Macaca mulatta: one gene and its partner. The protein of the gene in region 2 purifies or fractionates together with the protein of the main gene of each other region. This does not show direct contact. Links are inferred from orthologs where the notes say so. Each region holds a gene or a part of one and is shown on either strand. Other genes may lie near its edges.

Region 1 (10,184 bases), on a different chromosome or scaffold from region 2:
AAACCATAGATTACATTTGCTGAAATTGATCTATGTTTACATTTTCTTGTCAATGGGAAATACATATAACCGTAAGTGAAAAATAAACTAAAACATGTTTATCTTTTTATTTCTAATAATCAAAGCTGATATTTATTGAGCATTTACCATGCACCATGCACTGTGTAAAATACTTTTTTGCACATTATTTCATTTAATTGTCACAAATTCACGAGGTAGGTTATGTTATTACCATTTATCTGATGAGGCAATGGTTAGAGAGGTTAAGAACACTGCACAAATACTGGTTGTATGATACAAGCAATCCTTTCTTTCTTTCTTTTCTCTCTTTCTTTCTTTCTCTCTTTCTCTCTCTTTCTTTCTTTCTTTCTTTCTTTCAGGGTCCCACTCTGTTGCCCAGGCTGGAGTGCAGTAGCATGAACATGGCTCACTGCAGCCTCGACTTCCAGGGCTCAAGCAATCCTACTACCACGCATCTCGAGTAGCTAGGACCACAGATGCACCCACTATGCCTAGCTAATTTTTAAATTTTGTGTAGAGACAAGGTTTAGCTATGTTTCCCAGGTTGATCTCGAACTCCTGGGCTCAAGCAATCCTCCTGCCTTAGTCTCCCAAAGTGCTAGGATTACAGGCATGAACCACTGTGGCTGGCCAATACTGCCATTCTTTATGCAAATATTTTTTTCAATTGTTATCAAGTAGGAAATCTAATTAACTTCAGTTTCATTGAATTTCATCTTTACTTCCTTCCTATCCATGGCTTATGAGAGAAGTGTTAACATGAAGCAACAAGGATTATGGTAAATAGAGAATTAATAATCTAAAATAACTAAGAGTTGGCCATATTGTTATTATAATTATACTGAAGCTTATTTACATATTCTTTGTTTTGTGTTGAAACCTTGAGTTCTGATGGGGGAAAATCATGATTTTGATTAAACACAAAATTGCTTCTCGCCTTTTGGCTAAGATCAAGTGTAGATTAAACACAAAATGGGTAGTTAAACCTCTAAATAGTACACACTTTGGAGAAAGCTGAAGTACATGTAATTATTTAAATCATTCCTGATTATTTAACTTACATATTTACAAGCCGAAATAAAATGTGCAAATGTAAATAATGCTTTTTCTTTTCTTTTTTTTTTTTGGAGACAGGGTCTCACTCTGTCACCCAAGCTGCAGTGCAGTGGCACACTGTAACCTCAACCTCCTGGGTTCAGGTGATCCTCCCATCTCATCGTCCCAAGTAGCTGGGACTGCAGGCGCCGGCCACCATGCCCAACTAATTTTTTGTATTTTTTTTGTACAGACAGGGTTTCATCATATTGCCTAGGCTGGTCTTGAACTTCTGGACTCAAGCGATTGGCCTCGCCTTGGCTTTCAAAGTGCTGGGATTACAGGAGTGAGCCACCTGCCTGACCAATACTGCATTTTTTGACTTCCTGTTTTCTATCCTTAAAGCACTGATTTCTTGGACCCAGTGAAAACAAATTTTTCAGGTTGAAGATTTTAAGTTAATGTAATCATTCATATTTGAAGGATGTCATGATTTATTTTTTAATGTCTTTACTATTGAAAATATTTCTTGTTATTATAGTTTATTTATACCCTAAATTAAAAATAAGCAGGCACTTCATATTCTGGATTTGCTGTCACTTGCCTACAACAAAACAAGTAACTCTGGGTTTATACTGGATGAGTTACAAAGCGAGAGTTTGGATTTTATCATTGGTTTCAGTCCTAATTTTAGAGGTGTGGGGATACAAAAGAAGTTCTTAATTTGGAGACATTTAAAATGGCTTGTGTGGTTTTCTTCAGGAAGGAAGCATGCTGTCTAACTTCAGGACCATCACAGCACCCTTTAAATATGTAATAATTATTTTGTTCAAAATGTTTATGTTCCATATCTTATCACTCAATGTATAAAATATCACTGCCACTGACATCAATTACATTTTATGGAAAATGGAGTGAATTAGTAAGCTGTCAAGTAGGTATTTTCCTCCTCCCTCAAAAAGTTATGTGTCCAAGTATAAATCATCAAAAGGATGCAGATTCTTTCCATATATTGCTTACAAATTGACTATTGTTTAAAAAGGCACAAATTTCAAAAAAATAAAAAAAATAAAAAATAAAAATAAAAAGGCACAAATTTCATAGACAAGTCTTTATCTCCTTCTTTCTTAAAAAAGCACAGAAAATGGGGGAAAAAGTCTTCTATACTGCAGTCTAAATTATAGGTAGGAAAAATAAAAACCAAGTGACATGGGAGATTGGAGGTGAATTTTCAAATATCAGTAATTTACAGGATTTACAGGATTTTCATTAGCATGGTTTCCACGTTTTCTGTAAGATATGAACATTTAAATTGATAAGAATGGAAGATTCATATAACATTAGTTTTTCTTACTTGTATCCATTTAAAGATTCACATTTTCACTTTAATATATAACTTAAGACTTTTCTTTCAAAACACATCTAAAAATTAGTAAAATGCCTAAATGGAAGCTTTATTTACTTGGTAGAAAAGCTGAAAAAAATAAAAACATATTCTTCACAATTTCAGAGGTGACAAAAATCTCTTATATTTCAGTAGTTTCTGATCTCCCTTAAGGGATTTGAAAATTGTATATGATGTTGCATAATCTTAAGAAGATTAACGTTAAAGTGCTACTGGTCTATTTCAATTGTGTACTTCTTACAATATAATGAAAGAATTTATTTGGTAATCCTGAATCTATTGACCTCACAAACACTGGTCATTATTTTGGTGAAAATATTCATAAGCATTTTTAGTTACTGATTTCTAACAGTTGTTTCTTATTATCTTCCTGATTTTACAATTCCCCAAAGTAAAGGTGCGAAAAACAAACATCTACCCTCCTTTTCGACAAATGCCATGATAGAGGGGAGACTTGTGTGGTGTAAACACAAATGTAGACATTTGGAAGTTGATGGTTTTAAGATTCAATAAAAACTTGAAGGTTTTGGCTTCAAATCCCCACGCTAGTTTGTTTTAGTTCTACCGGATACATGTCCCCTACCCATTTCAAAGGACCCAGTCAACTCCGCTCTTGCCTGCAGTTTCAGCGTCGCGGGTGACCCGCGCCCCGCCGGAGTTGGAGCTGGCAGAGTCCGATTGCTCAGAGCGCCGAGCCGGGGGTGGGGCAGGGGTACGCTTGCAGGTCCGGTGGTCACGCTGGCTGAGAGCCCCCACGGCCGACCCGCGCTGCAGACCCTCCTGGAGAACCTCAGGCCTCTCCTCAAAAACATCCCTAAAACGCGTTCCCTTTGTTCATTCATTCATGTTCAATTTCATATGCCCCTCTGTCTTGGGAAAACCAATTCGGGCCTCTGCAGCCTCAACACAGGGGCACTGTTCCCGCCTATTACTGACCCAGTGAAGCCGGGAAGACGAATCTCGACCACTGTTTCGCAGATACCGCGTGTGATTTATTAAATGCCGTCTCTCCGAGTCCCAAGTGGCCGGGAGCATTATGCCACCTCCCTTGCCCTCATCTCTCACTGCCATGCAAGAAAGCGTTAATGGCAAATAGGGACCACGGCCACGCTCCGTCGTTCCTGCTTCCAAGCAAACCTTGTGCCAGGTTCCTCATTTCGCGAGGCTCCACTCTCTTGGGCTTCAGGCTGCGGCTGGGCCTCCAGGACCAAAGGGCAATAGAGGTCTGAGAGTCCGGGCCTCAGGCATATGCAGGCCGCAGGTGGGAGGAGAATAGCGCCCGCGCGTGGCAACAGCCCAGGGCATCTCCGCCGGATTTTTCCATCCCCGGGATAGGCTTGGTGCCCCGTACACTCCAGCGGAACTACAACTCCCAGCACCGTGGTTGCCCGGACTCCCGGAAGCCGAAGCCCGGCTGGGAGGAAGCAGCTGAGACCCCGCCAACAGACCGGGGGTTAATTTAGACAGAAAAGGGGGCGGGAAGGGCTGTGGGATACTTGTCAATTCGCCGCCATGAACGTGGTTTTTGCTGTGAAGCAGTACATTTCCAAAATGATAGAGGACAGCGGGCCTGGTATGAAAGTACTTCTGATGGATAAAGAGACGGTGAGTTTGCTTTTGCTCAGCATTTGTCAAGGAACCCTCTCAACCTTACAATAGCTGGTCCCATTCCACAGTAGGATTTAGCATTTAATTAAAGATATGAAAATAAGGGTCAGTTTGTGTGGAATTGAAAAGTTGTATAAAGCTTGCCCGGTGGGTTTTTCAGTCTAAATGGCTCCAGCCACTGCCCAGAGACTGCTTCTACCCGAAACAATTTATTGGAATCAGAAATCTTTTAATAAATGTCTCTGCCAATAAATCATTAATATGTTAGAGCACTTGGAAGACTTTGGGATGGGCCTACTGTTTCCACTCAACATTGCGTTTTAAAAGTAAAGCTGTTGGAGCTCAAGCTGAACTGACAGGTTATTTGTTGGCCACAGACCAGAAAACAAAATTCTTTAAGGTGATAGAAAAAAATATTTTTGGAAATGTATGGATTGTTCCAGTTCAAAAAGAGCATGTTTTTTCTTTGTTTTTTGTTTTTAACCTTGACACTTCAGCTGAAAGGAGAGAGCGTATTTTTCGTTCTTGTATGTTACCTACCTGTTTGGATGTTCAGTAAATGTTATTACGTATATTACTATTTAAGTTATCCAGCTAAGTATTAATGAAAAAAGAGGCTTAGATATGCTACTTGTTTTTATTATTCTAGACTAGCATACTTTTAGTTAATCCTTTGTTTTTACAGACTGGCATAGTGAGTATGGTATACACACAATCGGAGATTCTACAGAAAGAAGTGTACCTCTTTGAACGCATTGATTCTCAAAATCGAGAGATCATGAAACACCTGAAGGCAATTTGTTTTCTTCGACCTACAAAGGTACTGCATAAACTGAGTTTCCATCTGCCCAGGCAGATGCAGCACACTCTAATCTGAAAGCATTAAGAAGGCAAAATAAATTTGTATTTTCATAATTTGTGGCATCATAATTATCCTGGTTCATCAGTATTATAACCTTCATTTTTCTTGTTTTGTTTCCATATTTCAGTTGACCCCTTACAGCCAATTCTTCCTTCAAGATGTCTTTTAGGTTCACAGCTATTCCCATTGCCACTAATGAACTACTCTTAACAGAGACCCACATTACTTTATTCCTGGATTAACCTCCGTATCTGTCACATTGAACACCATCAACACTTAATTTCGTATACAGCTATGAGTGTCTTGAATCTTTACCACTTTATTCACATTTATGCTCAGAAACTTCTGGTGGTTTGATGTTATTTCCATGATTAAATCTATATTTAGCCCAGCAGTTAAAGCCCTCCTTTGTTGGTTTCATTTGCCCATATGTATCTAGCCTTCCTGTGTCCTAGGTCTGCTGCTCCTCTGTAGCCAGCTGGGCTACTGTTGGAATGAGCAATTTTACATGCTCATTCCTGTTCACTGGTTTTTTTTCTTCCACTAATTAAAAGTTATTTGGCCATTTGTCACTTTTTGTCCATCACCTTCTAAATCTAGCTTGAGTCTCTCCTTTAAAAATCCTTTCCTATTTTAATACTTTCTTTTTTTTTTTTTTTTTTTTTTGGAGTATCCCTGTGTTGCCCAGGCTGGAGTGCAGTGGCGCAATCTCAGGCCCACTGCAAGCTCCACCTCCCGGGTTCACGCTTCTCCTGCCTCAGCCTCCCGAGTAGCTGGGACTACGGGCGCCTGCCACCACGCCTGGCTAATTTTTTTGTATTTTTAGTAGAGATGGGGTTTCACTGTGTTAGCCAGGATAGTCTCAATCTCCTGACTTCATGATCCGCCCTCCTCGGCCTCCCAAAGTGCTGGGATTACAGGCGTGAGCCACCGCGCCTGGCTGTTCTACTTTGTTGATTCATATTCATATTCTTCAACTCTAATGCACTTTATCATGCTTGTACATATGTACTTTCCAGAATGCAAATCTGATCATGGCACTCCTGCTTGAAATCCTTAAATGACTTCTCATTGCTTTTCTGATAAGGGCAAAAGTCCTTAATTGTAGCCTTCAAGGTGCAGCATGGTCTGGTTTCTACCATTTCTCCAGCCTCATTTCGAACCATTCCCCTTTTGCACTCTGCACCTTAATCACCTTAATCTTTCAATCCACTATATTCCCCTTGTTCTGTCATGCCACAGGACCTTTGCATAGGCTTCTTCTTCTGCCTGGAACTTCACTTCCTCAAGTAACCCTTCCCTGGTTTTGCTGACCAGGTCAAACCTGCCCCTTATGTGCATTTACAAAACCATCTTTATCGCCCTATTGCGTGTCATGGTTTGAACTTTTGTATGGTTTGGGTGATTACCAGCAGTAATCCATGAAAACAGATATGATATCTGTTTTTTCTCACCCTATATTCCCAATGCCTGTCACACAGTGGACACTCAATAAATAGTTGCTGAATTAATGAACACATGCTGTGTTATAATAGTTTCCAATTGTTTCATATTTATAGCTCTTAGTCATGATATTTTGCTTCAAGAGGTACCTTAGAGATGATCTAGTTCATTATTTCCTAATTTTTTTATTAGAGAAACTCTTTGACTGCTATGTACTGTCTCTCAAACTCTTTTAAGAATCTTTCCTTTTGGCCGGGCACGGTGGCTCACACCTGTAATCCTAGCACTTTGGGAGGCCCAGGCGGGCAGATCACGTGGTCAGGAGATCGAGACCATTCTGGCCAACATGGTGAAACCCCGTCTCTACTGAAAATACACACACACACAAAAACAATTAGCCAGGTGTGGTGGCAGGCACCTGTAGTCCCAGCTACTAGGGAGGCTGAGGCAGGAGAATTGCTTGAACCAGGGAGTTGGAGGTTTCAGTGAGCTGAGATCACGCCACTGTAGTCCAGCCTGGCGGCAGAGCAAGACTCCGTCTCAAAAAATAATAATAATAATAATAATCTTTCCTTTTTCTTTTTATTATTTTGTATATTCTCTTTTGTCTTTTTCCACATTGTCTGAACTTTTAGGAATCTTTTAATTCAGTTTGTTATTTTTGCCTAGCATATTACGAGGAAGTAATTGAGGTTTAAAAGATATTTTAAATTTTTTTCTTAAGATTATATTATAACGTTAATTTGAATGCATTTTTAAATCTAAATGACAATTTTTAAAACCTTTTCCCCATTAATAAGCAGTATACATTGCTTACATTTTTCTTTTAATTCTGTAAAGAAAGGTGATTTTTAAAACAAATTACTAAATATGTTTAGGGAACAATTTATATTGAAATTTAACCAGGTATTATAGTATCAAAAATCAATAAAACCTGCATTATAATCTTATGTAATCGGAATTCTTATATTTTGACCATATAAAAATCAACTTTTTTGTTTTAAACTTTTATACTTTATTTTAAATTAATGTAATTATAGAAAGATCTTAGCCTACTACTTGCAAATACTTCACAAACATTGTAGTTGTGCAGAGTCTTACATCCCAATAAATTAAAAGCCAAAGTGAATATAATTAACTATATTTTCTCTTGAATGTTAATTTTTAAAGGAATAGACACATTTGATGTTCTAGGTAAGAATTTTGATCAGGCCAGGCGCAGTGGCTCACACCTGTAATCCTAGCACTTGGGAGGCCAAGCCAGTAGATCAGTTGAGGTCAGGAGTTCAAGACCAGCCTGGCCAACATGGTGAAACCCTGTGTCTACTAAAATTACAAAAAATTAGCTGGGTGTGGTGGCACAAACCTGTAATCCCAGCTACTTGGGAGGCTGAGACAGGAGAATTGCTTGAACCTGGAAGATGGAGGTTGCAGTGAACCGAGACTGTGCCATTGCCCTCCAGCCTGGGCGACAGAGTGAGACCTCATCTCAAATAAAAAAAAAAAAAAAAAAGAATTTTGAGCAAGTGAATACAATTTATAGACAAACAGCTCGATGTGAGTTTGCAGAATTATAATCAATTTTATGTTGTATTTCAACATCTGTGTCCCTTATATTCTTTATCTTAATTTGGCCAAAATGCAGTTGGTTAATATTTAATATTATACACATACTATTAAATAATATATGATTCCTGATCATTGTATTCATCTCTTTTGTCTCCAGCCCTTACCCACCAACATGTGCACAAAATTTATCTGTCTGCAGCCCTTATCCACCAACATATGCAACACTTAACCTAGACTTCAATATGCAGTAGATGCAGTAAATAAACAAATCAATGGGTAATGCTTATTACTTTTTTCCTTAAGCAACTCTCCTCATATTTTGTTCGCTTGTTCTTCATTTTCTAGGAGAATGTGGATTATATGATTCAGGAGCTCCGAAGACCCAAATACACTATATATTTCATTTGTAAGTATGTTAGTTCACTTTTTCAAACTCATAACAACATCCCAGTTAGTGTGTTTCATTGAGCCCTTTATGTCACTAATAAGTTCATTGGATCTGTCACTATAAAGATCTCGTTTATTTAACGTCCTTCCAAAGTATTAAAAGTCTGTTGACCTGCCGGGCATGGTGGCTCAAGCCTGTAATCCCAGCACTTTGGGAGGCCAAGGTGGGCGGATCACTGAGGTCAGGAGTTTGAGACCAGCCTGACCAACATGGTGAAACCCCATCTCTACTAAAAACACAAAATTAGCTGGGCATGGTGGCGCATGCCTATAATCCCAGCTACTTGGGAGGCTGAAGCAGAAGAATCGCTTGAACTGGAGAGGCGGAGATTGCAGTGAGCCAAGATTGTGCCATTGCACTCCAGCCTGGGCAACAAGAGCGAAACTCTGTCTCAAAAAAAAAAAAAAAACAAAACTTTTGACCAATATTCTGTTTCAGAGGGCTAAATGTGATTTCCATTCATCTTTGATTACTTAAGTTAAAAATTTTACATTTTACTTTGCCTTTCAAGATGCTTTGTAAGTCACAAGTTGTAAGTAGACAAATTTTACATCTCACCCCTGCCAAAAAAAAAAAAGTATATACTTATCCCCATTTTACACTTAGGAATTGAGGCATGGAAGCTGATTTATTTTTTGAAATGGGAAGGTAATACTTGAGTTTGTTGGAAAAGCAGAGATTTACTTTACATACCAGATAAAAGCCTTTCACTTCTCTTTGTTACTATATTTAATGCATTGAAAGTATAAATCATCAGGTAGTGATCTCTTATGTGCACAACTTTCTTGGGTTGGGGGTTAGGTAGGGGAGGTCTGGAAATAAACTAGGTTTGTATTTACTATACAATTTACATGGATTTTTTTGATCCAATACATTTGGCTGTGGAAGTTACATCCATTCTCCTCTAGATGTCATTATTGATCTTTATGTTAATAGTATTAGTGTAGTCTGTTTGGTAATATTTCCAAAACCAAGGACTAGATTTAACAGTAAGTAGGGCATTTGAGAAGTTTTAAAGCTTACTTAAAGGTATTAGAGTTTTAGGGTTTAGACTACAGTCTAAGACATGTACTTTCTTCAGCGTATACTACTTAAATGGAATAATGATACAAAAAATTAACATTTGTGAAAAGACTATATATAAGAGCTCTCTCATATTTTATTTCATTCACTTTTGTGTAGAACTGAAAAGTTATATAAAGCTCGTCCAGTGGGTTTTCAGTGCACAACGCCCCAAGAGGTAAAAATAGGCAATTTTATTAATCTGTGGCATCTTAATTTTTGTTTGTTTTTGGCTAAGAGTCACAGGTTTTCTTTTTAAAATTAAACTTTCTATTCTGAAGTAATTGTAGATTTGTGTGCAGCTGTAAAAAAAAAAAAAAAAAAAAAAACACAAATGATCGCAGATACCCTTTACCCAGCTTCCCCCATGTAGTATCTTACATGACGATAGTACAATATCACAACCAAGATGTTAACACTGATACAGTCAGGATACAGAACATTTTCATCTCTATAAGGATCCCTTATATTGCCCTTTTATTAGCTTATATGGACTTCTCTCCCACGCCAACCCCCTCATTAACCCTGGTAACCACTAATATTTTCTCCATTTTATATTTTATCATTCGAAGAATGTTCTATAAATGAAATCATACAGTATAAAACCTTTTGGGAATGACTTTTTTTACTCAGCATAATTCTCTGGAGAGTCATCCAGGCTGGTATGTGTGGGTGCGTGTGTGTGTGTGTGTGTGTGTGTGTTTGCTTTTTTGTTTTTTTGTCTGAGAAGG
Region 2 (10,215 bases):
GATTCTATCCTTGCCTCTTTTTCACAATCTACTGCACAGCTTTTAGGGACATCAGAAATTGGAACGCTATCTTCTTCTGTTTGCAACGGTTCTAAAGCTACTTTAATAATGACCCAATAATTCCATACTGTAAGGGGAATGATTTTACCTTCCCTACTTGCTTGTTTTAATTCTTTGCCAATTTTTTCCCAGTCTTTTAGATCTAAAGTTCCCTGTTCTGGAAACCATGGACAAAACTGCTCTATTGTTTGAAATAGCGTAGTTAGATTTTTGGTAGAGACTTTAACTCCCCCTCTTTTTAAGAGAATTTTAATAAAGCTGCGATAAGAGGCATATTTACTCATAGTTTGCCCCATTGTTACCCTAGGTTCTTCCGTGCGCACAAGCTTACCACAAGGCTGACTTTAGACATACTCGGGAGTCTCTCGTCAACTTGTACTCAATGACCATGCTCCAGCGTACCTTCACCTTAGAGAAAAGCTCCACGTTGGGCACCAGATGAAGGGGTGGCCTGCCCCTCCACACCTGTGGGTGTTTCTTGTAAGGTGGAACGAGAGACTTGAGAAAAGAAATAAGACACAGAGACAAAGTATAGAGAAAGAAAAGCGGGACCCAGGGGACTGGCGCTCAGCTTACAGAGGACCCACGCGGGTCCCGGTCTCTGAGTTCCCTTAGTATTTATTGATAATTATCTTTACCATCTTAAAGACAGGGGAGTGGCAGGACAATAGGATCAAAGAAAAGAGGAAATGGGCAGTAAGACATATGAACAAACACCTCTGTGACATGAATAAGTTCAAAGGAAAATGCTGTGCCTTGAGATGCATATGCAAACATCTCCATAAACCTTTTAGCAGCATTGTTTCAGTCTATCACATGGGGAGAAACCTTAGACAATACCTAGCTTTCCTAGGCACAGGTCCCTGCGACCTTCGGCCGTGTACGTGTCTCTGGGTAGTTGAAATTAAGAGAATGGTGATAACTTTTAACCAGCAAGCTACCTTCAGGCATTTGTTTAACAAAGACACATCCTGCACAGCCCAAAATCCATTAAACCTTGAGTCACCACAGCACATGTCTCTTGCAAGGACAAGGTTGGGGGTAGGGTCACAGATTAACAGCATCACAAATACAGAACAAAATGGAGTCTCTTATGTCTACGTCTTTCTATATAGACACAGTAACAGGCTGATCTCTTTCTTTTCCCCACAAAGACAGAGGCAGAGATTGGAGTCATACTGCCCACAAACCAAGGAACACCTGGGGCCACCAGTAGCCAGGAAAGGCTTGGGGAACAGACTGCTTCCTGGAGACTTCAGAGGGAGCATTAGTCTCCTGATGCTTTGATTCCTAACTTTTAGCCTCCAGAACTGTGAAAATAAGTTTCTGGTTTGAAGGCACTCAGTTTGTGGTAGGCTGTGTTATGGGAGCCCTAGGAGGCCACTACATAGGGACTCAGGATTAACGCCTCAGAGTCAGAAGAGGCTGGGGTCCCAGGAACCATGGGCTGCCACACTCTGGTCTGATTATCTCCAGGCTTGCTTTCCATGACAGAAAAATATGCCTTCAGCTGTGTACGCAGTTATGGGTAAGCAAGTTTGATTACTGTTTGGGGACAGGGTCCCACCTGCTGCCCACACACCCCGGCGAATTTCCCTGACCCCACTCCTCAGGCAGGCAGGGTCTCCACATCAAAGAGGGGGTGCCTGAGGCTGGCTGCCTGGGGGGCCCTGAGTGCAGCTCTTCCTGCTTCTCTTCGAGGCACCCCGATGGGGAGAAGGCAGTGCCGCAATTGTCCTTTCTCAGCTGAGGACCTTTCCCACCCAACAAGGAGAGCACAGCCATGCTGCAAGGACAAGAGTGTCTTTATTGGAGTTAGGACTGGGGCCTCTATAGGGGCTTCTGGTTTCTGGGCTGTAGGTTTGTGGGGTGTGGGATCTTGGGTCAAAGGTGGGAGACTAGGGCAGGGTATCAGAGGGTGATATCATCCTCGTACAAGGACAGCAGCAGCAGGACGGTCCAGCCGCCCAGCAGGCCCACGTTGTGCAGCAGAAAGAGGAGCCAGGGCCGTGGGTCCCGTACTTTCAAGATGGCCGGGAGCTGAGGAGCAAGTGGGTACCAGGTCAGCGCCCCTGCTCAGCTCCGCTGCTCAGTTCCCGGCCCAGAGCAGCCCCTCCCCTCACCATCCTGACCATGTCGCAGAGTGCCACGTAGAGGAACAGGCCGGTGGCCACTGCCAGGATCCAGACCTCGCTCTCCTCGCCGACTCCAACCGCGAGTGCCACGTAGAGACCCGCGAAGGCCGTGAGCGCAGAGGCCAGGTTCAGCACCAGCGCTTGGCGCACGGAAAGGCCCGCCTGCAGCAAGGCCGCGAAGTCCCCTGCGGGCGGGTCCACATCAACAGCTCCGCCCTCCTATTTACATGCCCCGCCCACCTCCTTTCGGTCGCGCGCTCTTACCACCAGGCCCCGCCCACCTGTTCCCGGTCTCCCCGCCCAGCCCCGTGCGGCCCCGGCCGTCTCCTTCCAGGCCCCGCCCGCCGCTCACCCAGCTCGTGCGGCAACTCGTGGCAGAACACCGCCAGCGAGGTGGCCAGCCCGGTCTTCCAGGAGGACGCGAAGGCGGCGCCCACGGCCAGCCCATCGGCGAAGTTGTGCACGGCGTCGCCCAGCGTGATCACATAAGGCAGTAACCTCAACTCTGCGGATGCAGCGGCCGTGGGTTCGCGTGGCCTGTCCCCGACCGCCAAGCCCCGGGCCCCGCTCGCGCTCCACACAAACCTCAGATCCCCCAGCCCTTCCGGGGTCGCCCCCTGGGCTCACCTGGGCTCAGTCTCCTGGGCTCCGGCTTCAGCAGCTCCGGGCTCTCCTCCGCCACCTGGGAGGAGCCTTGAGTAAGTCCCGCCCAGAGATAGAGGAGGAACGCGGCGGGGCGGGGCCCCAGATCACCGCGGGAGGCGGGGCCGCAGGCCTGGGGTGGGGCTGGGAGTGTGGGCTTGGGAAGGGGTCTGTAGGAGGGGCTCCGCGTGGGGTGGGGCATCGGGCGCCCACTCACCAGGTCCGCGCGGGAGCCCTCGTGGGGCGGCTTGGGCTGCCGGAGCTCGCTGGGTGCCAGCTGCAGGGACACGCCGTGGCTGTGGCCGCCGTGGCTGTGGCTGCTGTGGCCGCAGGGCCCGTCCTCCAGATCCTGTGAGGGTAGCTGCTCAGCGTCCGCCAGGCCCCCAGCACACCCACCCGCCGGGTACCTTCCCAAGAAGCCTGACCTCCGGGTCCCTGGGCAGCAGGAGGTTGAAGAGGTTCTCAAACAGGAAGAAGGCGTAGAGCCCGGCCAACATAGCCAGGAGGCGCCAGGTGGGCTGTGAGCTGAGGCCCTCTTCGCTGTGTGTGTGCAGCCCCAGCACCTGGGGAGTAGGGGCGCTGGGCTGGGGGGGTCACAGGGCGCCTCCCTCCAAGACCCAGGGAGAGGGGTCAGGGGTCAGGGGGTGGTGTGGGTAAGGGCCCTGGGAGGGCATGGCCTGGGAGTCCATGGTGGGGAAGGGAAGGCCAGGATCGGGGGGTTGTGGGGGCAGACCTTGGGCATCAGGTGCAGGACAGCATCCCCAGTGAGTGCACCCACCGCCAGGCTCAGGCAGGTCTGCAGGATGTAGTGGGTGACCCCCCTGCAGCCAGTGCAGGTCAGCAGTACGAGGCCAAAAACCGCGCAGAGGCAGATGAGCAGTGTGGCCAGGGAGCCGTACAGATACCCTGGGGGCGGGTGAGGTGGCTGTGAGAGCTTTTCTTCCAGACTCAGCCCCTGCTTCCCGGGCGTCACTCACCAGAGCTGCAGGCGGTCAGTGTGGGCCAGTCCCTCACTCAGGCTGACGCTCCTGCCTCAAAGCCCCACTCCCCTCCTGGCGATGCCACATTCCTCTGTGTCTGCTGTTTCAACTTCCAGGCCCTGCTCCCTCTCTCCATCCCTCACCCTCGGCAGCCACTCCTTCCTCCCTATGTGGGCCCCACCTCTGCACTGCCAGCACAGTGCCGGGGTGGGCACTCACTCTCTGCCTGGCTGAGCTGGTCCTGGACGGGGAGCCTGGGCTGGGAGGTGCAGGCTCCACTCAGCTGCTGTTGCAGCAGGGCAGGGCTCAGTTGGACCCAGGCCTCCGGGGTCACCCCAGCCTGCTCTGACAGTCCATACACAGCCATCACGTCCCTGGCACTCAGGCATACCTGGGGAGTGGCAGGACAGGCTCAGGGGCCTGAGCAGACCCCAGTGGGACCCCATCTTACCCCAGGGCACAGCTCACCGTGTCCCACACACTGGAGCTATCGTTGGAGGTGACGAGGGGCACAGGGTCCTGGCCGCTGGCTCCCCTGTGCTGATGACTGTGGTCACTGTGGGCCTCCCTGCCTACCCCCAGGCGCTGCATCAAGGCCGACAGCTCTAGCAGGGAGAAGAGTCAGCACGGCGAGTCTGTGTGGGCTCCAGCCCTGCCCCCTAGGGACATGGAGGCTGGGGACTCGGGGGTGCCCCCTCCACAGCCCAGCCCAGGCCTCACCAGCCAGCGTCATAGGAGCCTCGCTACTGTGCTGCTGGAACACAAAGTCCACGAAGTACTGAGGGCTCGGCAAGGCATGGAAGCAAGACCCACTCCTGACGTGGTCCAGCAGGGCAGCCAGGACGCCACCGGCACTACCTGGAGCCCCCGCCCCCACCGCCTCCTCCAGCAGCTGAGGAATGTCTACGCAGGCCTGGGGAAGAGGGGGCCTCTGCCTCAGCCTTTGGTGTGACCTTGCATCCAGTTCTGCCATCCACCCAGCTGCCCCTGGATGCATCTCCCACGCCAACTACAGGATCTGCCCCCACCAGCCCCGCCCTTCCCTGGGGCCACAGCCCTCCCTGCCGGGCCCAGCTGCTTCAGGCTCCCACTCAGCCCTCTGGGTTCCTCCCTCGTGAGGCCCCTCCTGGGGCTCCTGCAGGCCCCCAGCTGCCCGGTAGTGAGCTCTACATTGTGAATCCCCAGCAGGAGGCCGACTCCCGGGCGTCTCCCCAGGCCCCCGGGCTCCCTGAAGGCTCTGCAGCCAGGCCTGGCCCCCTAGGCCATGGGGCCCTCCTCACCCACTCCCCTGGTCTGCCTGGACTGTCCCTCACCGTCTTGGGGGTCTGGCCGGCAGCCTGGGCCTGCATCCTCTGCAGCAGCCAGCTTAGGCCCGGGGTCAGGGCCTTGGGGCTTTCGAGCAGGGCCAGGAGATGGTCTGCACGAGAGGCCCAGCGGCCAGCGCGAGCGTCCTCACACGTGCCCTCGGGGTTGCTGAGGTAGAGGACGGCGGCGGCACTGAGGCGGGCAATGTACCTGGCCTCCAGGACCGGGCCTGGGGGCAGCCCTGGCCCCTCAGGCTCGCCCAGGCCCAGGGCGTCCTCCACAGACAGGCACTGTGGGCAGAGACAGGTGAGGAGGGGCTCTGGGCCCACCAGGGAGGGGAGAGGCAGGCCTGGCCAAGGGGCTTCCCCACAGGCCTGTTTCCTCTCCCTCTCAGGTCCACCATCCTCTCTCAACCCGTTGTGCCCTTCTGTCTCCCCAGGACCCTGTTCTGCTTCCCCAACTACAGGGGTGCACGGAGAGGGGTCCCCAACAGTGGTCCCATCCCCAGGGGACTCCCCTGGAGCCACTGCCAATTTGATGGCTGGGGGCCGGCAGGGGGAGGTGGCCCTGGGGTCCTGGGGAGAAGAGGGACTGTGTGTCCCTGGAGAGGTGTGCCTGTCTGCCCTCATGAGCATGAGGGTGGGCTCTGGCCTGCGGGGAGGGCCAGGGTGCCCAGGTACTGCCGCCAGCCTCCTCCGCCTCCTGGAGTTTGCCCAGGGCCCTTTGCTGCCAGTTGGCAGGGCGGAGCGGGCGGGAAGAGGCCAGGGCTGGGGGACCTGTCGGGTGGGGCTGTTACCTTTCCACACGGCCCGTTGGCGCAGTGCACACGGTCCGCCAGCGTATTTAACAGGCCGCCCAGTGCCTCTTGATCCACAGCTCCCTGGCCGGAGGTGAGCAGGCTCAGCAGACCAGCAGGCGGGGGCGCCGTCGCCGTTGCCGTTGCCGTCGCCGTCGCCGTCACCGTCACCGTCACCACCAGCACAGCCAGCAGCAGCCCAAGCTCCAGCGAGACCAGGGACGCCATACTCAGCTCCCAGCGTGCTCAGTGGGTGTTGCTGTGGCCAAGGCCCAGTGCTTCTGGGCTGGCTGAGGGCGGCTTTGCTGGGGTTGTCCAGGGCCAGACTGGGGCTGGGCTAGGACCCGCCCGGCCCGGCCTGCATGAGGACCTCTCCCAGGTATTCCTGCAGAGCTCTGTGATTGGCTGCTGGAGATGCCTGGGTTAACCATTCCAGCGGCAGATCCTCCCCAGTAGCCTGAAGCCACTGCTGGTGGGGGGCGAGGGCTGGGCCCCTTCCCCTGGACAGGCAGCCTGGGTGGGCTTTTTTTTAGATAGAGTTTTGCTCTTGCTGCCCAGGCTGCAGTGCAATGGCGTAATCTTGGCTCACTGCAAACTCTGCCTCCCAGGTTCAAGTGATTCTCCTGCCTCAGCCTCCCGAGTAGCTGGGATTACAGGCGGCACCACCACACCCAGTTAATTTTGTATTTTTAGTAGAGGCAGGGTTTCTCCATGTTGGTCAGGCTGGTCTTGAACTCCCAACCTCGGGTGATCCGCCTGCCTTGGCCTCCCCAAGTGCTGGAATTACAGGTGTGAGCCACCGCGCCCGGCTAGCCTGGGTGGGCTTCTGTCCTCTTCCTGCTGCCCCTCAAGCTGTGGGGCAGAGCCGGAGTGTCCCCTTCTGGCTCTCCATCTGGAGGCTGCCTCCAAGCTGGGGGACGCAGGGCAGAGGTGCACAGATGCCCCCAGAGCCTGAGAGCTCCCAGGTCCATGCCTCTGCCCCTCCCAACAGAGGCTGCCCAGACACCCTTGGTGGCCCCAGTTGGGGTGGGGACATGAACCTCTTCCTGGGTCCTGGCCTATGGTCCCTGTTGGGGACTGCGATGGAATCAAAGGAACTGAAAAGGTGCCTGCTGCATCATGCTCTCTTAGGCCAGAGAAAGCCCCAGGAAGCTCCAACACAGACAACCAGGAAGACGGACCTGGGCCCTGGCAGCCACCTGGCCGGGCTTGGGGCAGGATAAGATTGGGGTAAGACCCCAGCTCTAGCCCCTGGGGCAGGGAGGCTGTGGCTCCCAGCCCTGCCCTCCCTGTGGGCTCCTTCTCTGGCCTTTGAGCCTAGAGGCCTTATCTCTACTGTGGTGGTGATGGCAGGAAGTCTGGGGGAAGGGGAAGGCAGATCTCAGGGCAGCTTTGCCTTCTGAAGGGGGAGTCCAGATGCAGCCTCCTGCCCGGTCCAGCCAGCCTGACCCTGAGTGTTGTGGGTGGGGCTGGGGTGGGGAGCTGGGTGCCTGAGGCCCAAGGACTCTGTCCTGCCATGTGCAGGGCGGGACGGGGCAGTGCGGGCATTGGGCCCAGTGTCCTGGGGTCAGGGTGCTTCCCCGGCAGCCTCACCCTGCCAAGCGGCAGATCTCATGGTGCCCCTCTGGCTGGGCCCACCCACAGTGGTATCCTTCTGGGGCCGCAGATGATTTCTGGGCCCCAAGACCATGACGGGGGCAGCTCTACACGCAGCTTGGAGATGTTGCGGTCCCAAACTGGCCCTTTCCCTCCCACACCACCCCAGGACCAATGGGCTGGCTGGAGGCCACCCATTCGAAACCAGGCTCAAGGGCCTATTTTAGCTTCAGGGCAAAGGTCTTGGGCTGGGCCTGACTCTGTGGCCTTCCTGAGCTGCCTCCCCAGTAGGCCTCAGTGCTGGGCTGCAGGCCTCCTCCATTCCCTCCATTCATGTGACCCCATCCCTCCCCACAGAAACTCTCCTCCACAGCCCAGGAGCAGCCGCTGAGGGTTTCAGCTGCCCGTGCCCCAGCCTGAGGCCGGCTTCCCCAGAGCAGAGGGGTTGCACTCTCCTGCCCCTCAGGCCCACTCTGTCATGCAACAAGCTCATTGCAATTGGCCCATCTTAAAAACAACACTGGTCGGGCACCTTGGCCCACGCCTGTAAACCCAGCACTTTGGGAGGCTGAGGCAGGTGGATCACTTGAAGTCAGGAGTTTAAGACCAGCCTGGGCAACATGATGAAACCCCAGCTCTACTAAAAATACAAAAACAAATTAGGGCACCCAGGCCGGGCGCAGTGTCTCACGCCTGTAATCCCAGCACTTTGGGAGGCCGAGGCAGGCAAATCACGAGGTCAGGAGATGGAGACCATCCCGGCTAACACGGTGAAACCCCATCTCTATTAAAAATACGAAAAAATGGCCGGGCGCGGTGGCTCAAGCCTGTAATCCCAGCACTTTGGGAGGCCGAGACGGGCGGATCACGAGGTCAGGAGATCGAGACCATCCTGGCTAACACAGTGAAACCCCGTCTCTACTAAAACTACAAAAAACTAGCCGGGCGAGGTGGCGGGTGCCTGTAGTCCCAGCTACTCAGGAGGCTGAGGCAGGAGAATGGCTTAAACCCGGGAGGCAGAGTTTGCAGTGAGCTGAGATCCGGCCACTGCACTCCAGCCTGGGCGACAGAGCGAGACTCCGTCTCAAAAAAAAAAAAAAAAAAAATACGAAAAAATTAGCCAAGTGTGGTGGTGGGTGCCTGTAGTCCCAGCTCCTCGGGAGGCTGAGGCAGGAGAGTAGCTTGAACCTTGGAGGTGGAGCTTGCAGTTGAAGGGGTGGTCTGCCCCTCCACACCTGTGGGTGTTTCTCGTTAGGTGGAACGAGAGACTTGAGAAAAGAAAGAAGACACAGAGACAAAGTATAGAGAAAGAAAAGCGGGGGCCCAGGGGACAGGCGCTCAGCTTACAGAGGACCCACGCCGGCACTGGCCTCTGAGTTCCCTTAGTATTTATTGATAATTATCTTTACCATCTTAAGGATAAGGGAGTGGCAGGACAATAGGAGGGCAGTAAGACATATGAACAAAAACCTCTGTGACATGAATAAGTTTAAAGGAAAATGCTGTGCCTTGAGATGCATATGCAAACATCTCCATAAACCTTTTAGCATTACTTCAGCCTATCACATGGGGAGAAACCTTGGACAACACCTAACTTTCCTAGGCAGAGGTCCCTGCGACCTTTGGCCGTGTACGTGTCCCTGGGTAGTTGAAATTAAGAGAATGGTGATGACTTTTAACCAGCAAGCTGCCTTCAGGCACTTGTTTAACAAAGACACATCCTGCACAGCCCCAAATCAGTTAAACCTTGAGTCACCACAGCACATGTCTCTTGCAAGGACAAGGTTGGGGGTAGGGTCACAGATTAACAGCATCTCAAATACAGGACAAAATGGAGCCTCTTATGGCTATTTCTTTCTATATAGACATAGTAACAGGCTGATGTCTTTCTTTTCCCCACATTTCCCCCTTTTCTTTTCAACAAAACCACCATTGTCATCATGACACCGAGATTACATACTTCACAAAGTAATAGAATATCACAAAGCAAGTGGAGGCAGGATGAGATCACAGAATGGTGTTAAAATTAAAATTTTTGGGCATGCATAGTCATGGATAACATCTTATCAGAAAACAGGGTTTGAGAGCAGACAACCTGTCTGACCAAAATTTATTAGGTGGGAATTTCCTCGTCCTAATAAGCCTGGGAGCGCTACAGGAGGCCGGGGCTTATTTCATCCCTTCGGCTTCAACCATAAAAGGCGGCACGCCTCCAAGGGGGTCGTTTATAGGCCTACCCTCAGAGCGCATTCTCTTTCTCAGGGCTGTTCCTTGCTGAGAAAAAGAATTCAGCGATATTTCTCCTATTTGCATAATGAAAAGAGAAGAAATATGGCTCTGTTCCGTCCGGCTCACCGGCGGCCAGTTCAAGGTTGCCTCCCTTGTTCCCTGAACATTGCTGTTATCTTATTCTTTCTTCAAGAAGCCCAGATTTCATATTGTTCAAACACACATGCTCCACAAACAATTTGTGCAGTTAAGGCAATCATCACAGGGTCCTGAGGTGACATATATCCTCCTCAGTTTACAAAGAAGATGATAGAATTAGGAGATTAAAGTAAAGACAGACATAAGAAATTACAAAAGTATTAACTTGGGAGAACTAATAAATGTCCATGAAATCTTCACATTTTACCTTTTTCTGCCGTGGCTTCAGCCAGTCCCTGCGTTCAAGGTCCCTGACTTCCCGCAACGTTCTCCC

Evidence for each region.
Region 1: the proteins of SLC39A4 (region 2) and VPS45 purify together in Homo sapiens (affinity purification with mass spectrometry; 3 studies listed by BioGRID and IntAct, counting the BioPlex papers as one, with this or other methods). This does not show direct contact. The link is inferred for Macaca mulatta from reciprocal best matches to the Homo sapiens genes SLC39A4 and VPS45.

The regions. Positions count from the first base shown.
Region 1 is NC_133406.1:117,075,905-117,086,088, reverse strand, and holds the start of VPS45 (vacuolar protein sorting-associated protein 45), read left to right. Parts: upstream 1-3,853; 5' UTR 3,854-3,973; coding exon 3,974-4,066; intron 4,067-4,734; exon of another isoform or gene 4,735-4,754; coding exon 4,755-4,889; intron 4,890-8,288; coding exon 8,289-8,349; intron 8,350-10,184. UniProt on the Homo sapiens protein: May play a role in vesicle-mediated protein trafficking from the Golgi stack through the trans-Golgi network.
Region 2 is NC_133413.1:154,819,270-154,829,484, forward strand, and holds SLC39A4 (zinc transporter ZIP4), read right to left. Parts: upstream 5,919-10,215; 5' UTR 5,758-5,918; coding exon 5,131-5,757; intron 4,731-5,130; coding exon 4,538-4,730; intron 4,423-4,537; coding exon 4,286-4,422; intron 4,209-4,285; coding exon 4,037-4,208; intron 3,744-4,036; coding exon 3,571-3,743; intron 3,401-3,570; coding exon 3,263-3,400; intron 3,187-3,262; coding exon 3,055-3,186; intron 2,878-3,054; coding exon 2,823-2,877; intron 2,701-2,822; coding exon 2,548-2,700; intron 2,381-2,547; coding exon 2,193-2,380; intron 2,101-2,192; coding exon 1,972-2,100; 3' UTR 1,848-1,971; downstream 1-1,847. Other genes in the region: endogenous retrovirus group K member 7 Env polyprotein-like, read right to left, coding at 10,184-10,215. UniProt on the Homo sapiens protein: Selective transporter that mediates the uptake of Zn(2+). Plays an essential role for dietary zinc uptake from small intestine. The Zn(2+) uniporter activity is regulated by zinc availability.